Linked DNA regions of Oryctolagus cuniculus. The protein of the gene in region 1 interacts with the protein of each later gene in a pairwise test. Links are inferred from orthologs where the notes say so. Each region holds a gene or a part of one and is shown on either strand. Other genes may lie near its edges. The genes, in order: PRR22 and NELFA.

Region 1 (3,753 bases):
TGCGCCAGGGCCGCCAGCCCCATGCCGCTGTTCGGTGGGTGCGGGGCGGGGGGACGGGAGGGGGACGGGAGGAGGGCCCGCCGCCCTGTGCCGCTGCTCCGTGGGTGGGGGGAGCCGGGAGGGGGGGGTCCACCCCGGGAGGAGGGGCCGCCAGCCCCGTGCCGCTGTGCGGTGGGTGCGGTGGGGGAGGATGCGCCAGCCCCGTGCTGGTGTTCTGTGGGTGTGTGGGGTCCGCCCGGTGCCGCTGCTCTGTGGGCACCCCCGCACCGACACCCGTCCCTCCCCCAGGCAACGGCGACATCCTGTCGTACGAGGACGCCAACCGCGCCATGCAGACCGGGGTGGCCGGCGTCATGGTGGCCCGGTGAGCGGGCGGGGGCGGGTCCGCGGGCTGGGTTGGGGGGCGGCCTGGCCCGCTGACCACGCCCCCCCCCGCCCGCAGCGGCGCCCTGCTGAAGCCCTGGCTGTTCACGGAGATCAAGGAGCAGCGGCACTGGGACATCTCGGCCTCCGAGCGCCTGGACATCCTGCGCGACTTCACGCGCTACGGCCTGGAGCACTGGGGCTCGGACACGCAGGGCGTGGAGAAGACGCGCCGCTTCCTGCTCGAGTGGCTGTCCTTCCTGTGCAGGTGGGGCGGGGCGGGCCTGGCCGGGGCTCCTCCCTGTGTGGGTGGGGCGGGCCGGGGCTCCTCCCTGTGTGGGCGGGCCGGGGCTCCTCCCTGTGTGTGGGGGGCGGGGGCGGGGCTCCTCCCTGTGCAGGCGGGGCGGGGCGGGCCGGGGCTCCTCCCTGTGCGGGGGCGGGGCGGGGCCTGAGTGGTCCCGCCCCGCAGGTACGTGCCCGTGGGGCTGCTGGAGCGACTCCCGCAGAGGATCAACGAGTGGCCGCCCTACTACCTGGGCCGGGACCACCTGGAGACGCTCATGGCCAGCCAGCGGGCGGCCGACTGGATCCGCATCAGGTGCTGCGGGGCCGGGGTGGGGGTGGGGTGGGGGGGCGCGGAGGGCCCAGGCTGACCCTGCCGCCCGCCCCCACAGCGAAATGCTCCTGGGGCCGGTGCCGCCCAACTTCGTCTTCCTCCCGAAGCACAAGGCCAACGCCTACAAGTAGCCGCCAGGAACAATAAAGTTTATTCTTCCAGAGCCGGGCTCGGCCTTCCTGTGATCTGCGCGCGCACCCACCAGCGCCCCCGGGAGGGCAGCAGGCGCGGGGCCGCCGTGGACCAGCGGCCTGGTCTGGGGCGGGGGGTGTCGCCGGCCGCAGCCCAGCCAGCCCCCGCGTCCCCCCTCCCTCCGCCCGCCGGGGTCCCCCGGCCCCGGGCCCAGAACCCTGAGGGTGGAACCCGCTGCCCGGCAACCGGGCAACAGAAGCTGGCGCGGAGCCCCCGGCTGGGCCGCCCTGCTCCCCATGCAGCACCCCCAGCCCTTCTACGACGCCGCCGCCGCCGCGCCCCCGGACAGCTTCGGGCCCCGCGGCCTGGAGCCCAGCGAGGGGCCCGGCGGCCAGCCCGCTGCCTCCGCCCCGGAGCCGCCTCCGGCCGTGGGTACGCAGGGTGGGCTCGGGCCGGGGCCCCTGCCCACCCGCCCACCCGCCCAGGGCCCCGCCAACCCGGGCGCCTCGTCCGCAGGTTCCTCGGGCCTGTACCACGCCCCGAACCCGGAGAACGAGGCGTGCCCCGCCCCGCCCGCAGGTACTGCCGCCCCCAGCCCCCGCCCGGGGCCCAGCGGGCGGGCCCTCTCCCCCAGCGCCACCCTCGGCCGCCCCACGCGCGCTCCGGGCTCCCCGCGCCCAGCCCCAGCCCCTGCTTCCAAGGGAGCCCGGGAGACAGCGCCTGTGCCCCCCGCCCCACATGAGCCCCCGGGCCCCTCCCCGCCCTGCAGGCTTCCAGATGGCGCCGTGCGGCTGCTTCTTTGACCCCCGCATCTACCGCATCGAGTGGGCCGCCACCGACTTCGGCCAGACGGCCCTGTACAAGCTGGTGGCGGCGGGCGGCGTGGCCCCGGCAGGCGCGCCGGCCGGGAGTCCCGCGGCCTCGGGCGGCTTCCTCCTGGAGCCCCGGCCCTACCTGAGGGCCCCCGGCCCGCCGCCGCCGCCGCCGCCGCCGCCGCCGCCGTACCCCCACTTCCCGCCGGCGCCCGCGGGCCCCCCATACCTCATGCCCTACTACGCGCCCGAAGGGCCCGACCCGGACTCCCTGGGCTTCGTGGGGGACGCGGGGGCCCCCGGCCTCGCGGAGCTGCCCCCGGCCCCGCCGGAGGCCAAGCTGCCCCCGCTGGTCATCACGCTGCCCGCCGAGCCCGCGCTGCCGCCCGGCGCCTTCGGCCACCTGCAGGGCCGCCTCAGCCAGCTCCGCGCGCCCGCGCCCGCCGAGGCCGCCGCCGCCGCCGCCGCACCGGGCGCGGGCGCGGCGCTGCCGGACAAGGTGCTGCTGGAGGACGCCATGCGGCTCTTCGACTGCCTGCCCGGCGGCGCCGCGCCCGAGGCGGCCGCGAGCCCCGCGCCCCCGCGGGACGGCGGCGGCGGCAGCAGCGACTCGGGCGCCGGCATCCGCTCGCTGCACCTGCCCGCCGACCTGCTGTCCTTCGACTACAGCGTGCCCGAGCTGCTGGACGCCGTGGCCAACGTGGACTGCCTGTTCAACTTCAAGGCGCTGGACGAGGAGCCGCCGCCGCCGCGCGCGCCCGCCGCCCCCGGCCCGCGCCCCGAGCCCGCGGGCAGGAAGAAGGCGGGGGGCGCCTCGGCCGCCAAGAAGGCCAAGCCGGGAGGCAGGGGCAAGCAGGCGGCGGCGGCGGCGGCGGGGCCCCGAGCGGACCTGGGGGCCGCCCCCCATTAAAGCGAGTTTGCGCGCTCAGCTCCGTGTCGGCTCCGCGGTGGGCGCTGCACCGGCGGCGGCGGCGGCCGGCAGGGGGCGCTCTGGGGCCGCCGGGCTGGACCCGCAGGTGCGGCCGGCCATTCCCGCCTCGTGGGCTGTGGGGGGAGGGGGCGGTGCTGTGCGCAGGTGGAGCCACTTCAGGGGTCTGGGGGCCGCGGCTGTGGCGGGGCGCGGAGATGCCCAGCCCAGGTGAGGGGCGGGGGACACAGACGCCCTGAGCGACAGGTGCTTCTGCGGACACTCTCCGAGGTGGGGGTGGGGGTGGGGTCCCGGTGGGCTCCCTCCCCTACAGGGGCCAGCTCTGCTCAGCCTTCACTTTGGGAACCAAAGGAGAGTTGTGCCCTGGAAGTCCCCAGCCGGTTTGCAGGACAATGAGGTTGGCAGCTGAGGCCGGGATGCCTCTTCCAGGCAGGCCACCGTGCTTTGTGCTCCCCTCCCCGGAGTCCTCATTCCGGAGCTCAGGGATGAGGAGCCAGGGTCTCCAGGCCACCGGCCGCCCCCAGGGACGAGCTGACCCCTCCACGTGCACTGGTTCCGTGGCCACTGTACCCAGCTCCCCTCTGGGCCTCACATGAATGCCAGGGGGTGGGCTGGCCCCGAGACCAGTGCAGGCAGGGGTGGGAGGTGCAGAGCCCTCGCGGGCGTGAGGAGAAGCAGCTCGCTGGGGGGAGATTAAGTGGACAAAAACCACAGCAAGGGCTGGAGGCCGCCCGTTGGCAGGCGGGAGGGGGCTCGGGGCCCCACTTCTGCCTTGGGCAGGCACTGGGAAGGAGAGAGGACGGGCAGAGCCCGTCGGTGGTCACAGCCGCCCCGGGAGCGGGGCCAGCCTGCAGCTGAACTCAAGCTGGGTGGTGCCGGCTCCAAGGACCGTGGGAGGTGAA
Region 2 (3,793 bases), on another chromosome or scaffold:
CCTCCTGCGCGGCCTCGGCCCTGTGCCTGCCGCTGTCTCCTGCGCGGGCGTGGAGTTTCTTCCGGTTGCACCCGCGCTGCGCCCTCAGGTTTCCACGCGCGCTGTTTCTTTACTGAGGCCCAGTGTTGTCCGTGGTAATTTCCTCACTGGTCCCTGTGTGCTTTACAATGCTTCTCGGGCCGGCGCTGTGCCTGGTGGGTTACGTCACTGCCTGCGACCCCCGCGGCCCTGGGTGACAGCAGCCAGACAGCACGCCACCAGCTCCACTGTCAACTCTTCTGTCTCGAGACGCACACTGGGCTGGCGGCCTGGCGCAGCCCCGGCATTGAGGCCATCTGGGGAGCCAACCGGCGGGTGGGGAGCTTTCTCTGTTTTCCCTCTCCGTCTCTGTCATTCTGCCTTTCGAGTAAATAAAGTACATTTTGCTAAAGAAGGTGTTTCTCGATTCGCACCATGGAAGGGGAGGGTTAGGGTACGTTTCTATCAGTGACGTGCAGCGTGTGACGCTCTCGGAGAATGCGGCCCGCGGAGGCTGGAGCTGGCAGGCACTGCACCCCGGCGCGCTGGCCTACACCCACCCCCTCAAGGGGAGAGCGAGCGAGCGAGCGAGCTTCCATCCACGGCGTCACTCCTCAGATGGCCAGTGAGGAGCCAGGCGCTTCCGGGTCTCCGCGCCGGGTGCAGGCCCCCAGGGCCTCCGCGTCCTCTGCTGCCTTCCCAGGTGCGGTAGCAGGGAGCTGGCGCGGGCGAGGACGCGGGCTGCTTTCCTTTGTCCGTGTGTGTGGAAGGCCCTGGGCCCCGTGGGAGTCGCTGCGTGGGGCGGGGCCGAGGGGGAGCCTGCCACTCAGCGGCTCTCCGCCGGGCCGTCGGCAGTGCCGCGGCTCCGGTCGCGCCGGCCTCGTCGCCTTGTCAGCCTTGCTCACTTGGCACATCCTTTGCGTGTGTGTGATTTGCTGTCATAAATTTTTTTTGGTAATTTTTTTTTTTTTAAGATTTATTTATTTCTTGGAAAGGCAGAGCTATAAGGAGAGACACGAAGGTCTTCCATCCGCTGGTTCCCTCCCCAAATGGCCGCAACGGCCAGAGCTGGGCCGATCCGGAGCCAGGAGCCGGGGGCCGCCCGGGTCTCCCAGGCGCTCGGGTGGCGAGCAGTGCCCCTCTGCCTTAGCGCTGGGCTGCTGTCCCTGGTCGCTCTGTTGGGGGTGTCAGACGCTCGCTGGTTTTGGACGTGACGCACGTCTCCCACTGTCACCTGCTCCTGCGCCTCGGGAACTGCTGGCCTCTGGCCTGCGCCTGTGAGGTTCTAGATCGGCTGGATCAGGGTGTGCCAGGCGCCCTCCGGGCGAGAACTGGAGACCCTTCCCCTGCGGGCTCCTGGGGAGGGGAGGCGAGGGGAGGGGAGGGGAGGCGAGGGGAGGCGAGGGGAGGGGAGGGGAGGCAGGGTGTGGAGGCTTCGCTTCCCAGGCGCTCTCCTGGCTTGCATGGGGAGTTGGCACAGCAGGGCTCCGCCCTCAGGCCCCCAGCAGGGGAGGAGGGCGTGCTGCCACCCCTGCCCCTGGGCTGGGCCCGCACCCCTGAGACCAGGGAGCCCCTGCCCGGGGTTTGCCTCCTCTCACCCCCGGCGTCCTCTTCCTCTCGCCAGCTGTCCTCGTGGTAGTGGTGGGGACCGAGGGTCCTCCGGGTTCAGGGACTTGGCGTGGGGCGGTGCCTGGGCGGAGTTCACACCCATTTGCTGGCCTTTTTGGGCAGTCTGGGCCTGATGGGAGGGGGAGTGTCAGGCACTGGGTCACCCCTGGACACCTGTTCGCGGTCTCAGCAGGGGAAGGGGCTCCTCTGGCGGGGGCAGCTCTCTCCTGGTGACGGGGGTGCCTGCGGCGTGGTTGGGGCGGCACGTGCAAGCTGACTGGCCCCAGCCAGGCCCTCGCCCGCGCCTGAAGAGCAGAAGGGGCTGTCGGGAGGTGGGGGCAGCCCCGGGGTGGCCCCCCAGGGGTGCCGTCAGGGTCTGCAGTGTGGGGAGGCGGCGGCAGGGCAGGGCGCGGTTGCTGCCCGGGCCCGGCGGCAGCGTCTCCTGTCCCGCAGATGAAGGGCGTGCTGATGGAGATCGTCCAGCTGGCCGCGCTGGACTCGGACCCCTGGGTGCTCATGGTCGCCGACATCCTCAAGTCCTTCCCGGACACCGGCGCGCTCAACCTGGACCTGGAGGAGCAGAACTCCAACGTGCAGGACATTCTGGGGGAGCTCAGGGAGAAAGGTGCGCGGGGGGGGGGGGGGGGGGCACCTGCTAGAACCCGCGAGCCTCCACGAGGGGCCGAGGGGGCTCCCAGGCGACCTGCTGGGCTCTGACCTGAGGCCAGGGGGGCTGGGGGCCGGCGCTTGGCAGGTCCGGGGAGGCCACCAGCGGGGGCGGGCGCAGCTCGCCGTCCTCCCTTCCCGCGTGGGGCCGCCCGGGCCTGACGCCTGCTTCCGGGCAGTGGGCGAGTGCGAGGCGTCGGCCATGCTGCCGCTGGAGTGCCAGTACCTGAACAAAAACGCGCTGACCACGCTCGCCGGGCCCCTCACGCCGCCCGTGAAGCACTTCCAGCTGAAGCGCAAGCCCAAGAGCGCCACGCTGCGGGCCGAGCTGCTGCAGAAGTGTGAGTGGGCGCGCGGGGGCGCGCGGGGCGCGCGGGGGCGCGCGGGGGCACCCGCCGGCACTCCCCTGCACCGCGACGCGGGCCGTTTTGGTTTTGATTTTTATCCGTTTGAAAGGCAGAGAGACAGACAGCCGCCGGGAACTCGGATCAGTCTCCCAGGGGCGGGGTGGGCGGAGTGCCGTGCCCGCCCTGGGGTCCCCACACTGCTTTGGGGTGCCCTGGCCACCCTGGGGTGCCCGTGCCTGCCCTGGGGTCCCCACACTGCCCTGGGGTGCCCGTGCCCGCCCTGGGGTGCCCGCGCCTGTCCTGGGGTCCTCGTGCCCGCCCTGGGGTCCCCCGCACTGCTCTGGGGGTGCCCCGCGCCTGCCCCGGGGTGCCCACGCCCGCCCTGGGGTCCCCACACTGCTTTGGGGTGCCCTGCCCACCCTGGGGTGCCCGTGCCTGCCCTGGGGTCCCCACACTGCCCTGGGGTGCCCGTGCCCGCCCTGGGGTGCCCGTGCCCGCCCTGGGGTCCCCACGCTGCTTTGGGGCACCCACGCCCGCCCTGGGGTGCCAGCGCCTGCACTGCTCTCGGGTGCCCGCGCCTGTCCTGGGGTCCTCGTGCCTGCCCTGGGGTCCCCCGCACTGCTCTGGGGGTGCCCCGCGCCTGCCCCGGAGTGCCCACGCCCGCCCTGGGGTGCCCACGCCCGCCCTGGGGTCCCCACACTGCTCTCGGGTGCCCGTGCCTGCCCTGGGGTGCCCGCGCCCACCCTGGGGCCCCCGCGCCTGCGTCCAGGCGGAGCGCTGAAGCGGACGCCTTCCCACAGCCACGGAGACGGCGCAGCAGCTGAAGCGCAGCGCGGGGGTGCCGTTCCACACCAAGGGCCGCGGGCTGCTGCGCAAGATGGACACCACAAGTAAGACCCCACGCGTGGGCGCTCGGCGGGGGCCGCGGCGCTGGGCGCGCCCACCTCAGCCAAGGCTCCGCCCGACCCCTCTGCTGAGCTGTCGGGGTGGGCGCCGCGTGCTGCTGTGGGCGGGGCCGCAGGGTCAGGAGCCCCGAAGGGAGGACGCGGCTGATGGGCTGATGGCGCCCCCCCAGCCCCCCTCAAAGGCATCCCGAAGCAGGCGCCCTTCCGGAGCCCCACGGCGCCCAGCGTCTTCAGCCCCGCGGGGAACCG

The links.
Region 2: the proteins of PRR22 (region 1) and NELFA interact in a two-hybrid assay, tested with the Homo sapiens proteins (2 studies listed by BioGRID). The two-hybrid records come from large-scale screens. The link is inferred for Oryctolagus cuniculus from reciprocal best matches to the Homo sapiens genes PRR22 and NELFA.

What each region holds. Positions count from the first base shown.
Region 1 is NC_091447.1:60,353,467-60,357,219, reverse strand, and holds PRR22 (proline-rich protein 22), read left to right. Parts: upstream 1-1,263; 5' UTR 1,264-1,407; coding exon 1,408-1,543; intron 1,544-1,627; coding exon 1,628-1,690; intron 1,691-1,880; coding exon 1,881-2,833; 3' UTR 2,834-3,083; downstream 3,084-3,753. Other genes in the region: DUS3L (tRNA-dihydrouridine(47) synthase [NAD(P)(+)]-like), read left to right, coding at 1-34, 289-364, 443-631, 833-961, 1,038-1,110.
Region 2 is NC_091433.1:823,921-827,713, reverse strand, and holds part of NELFA (negative elongation factor A), read left to right. Parts: intron 1-2,079; coding exon 2,080-2,251; intron 2,252-2,471; coding exon 2,472-2,633; intron 2,634-3,439; coding exon 3,440-3,529; intron 3,530-3,714; coding exon 3,715-3,793. UniProt on the Homo sapiens protein: Essential component of the NELF complex, a complex that negatively regulates the elongation of transcription by RNA polymerase II.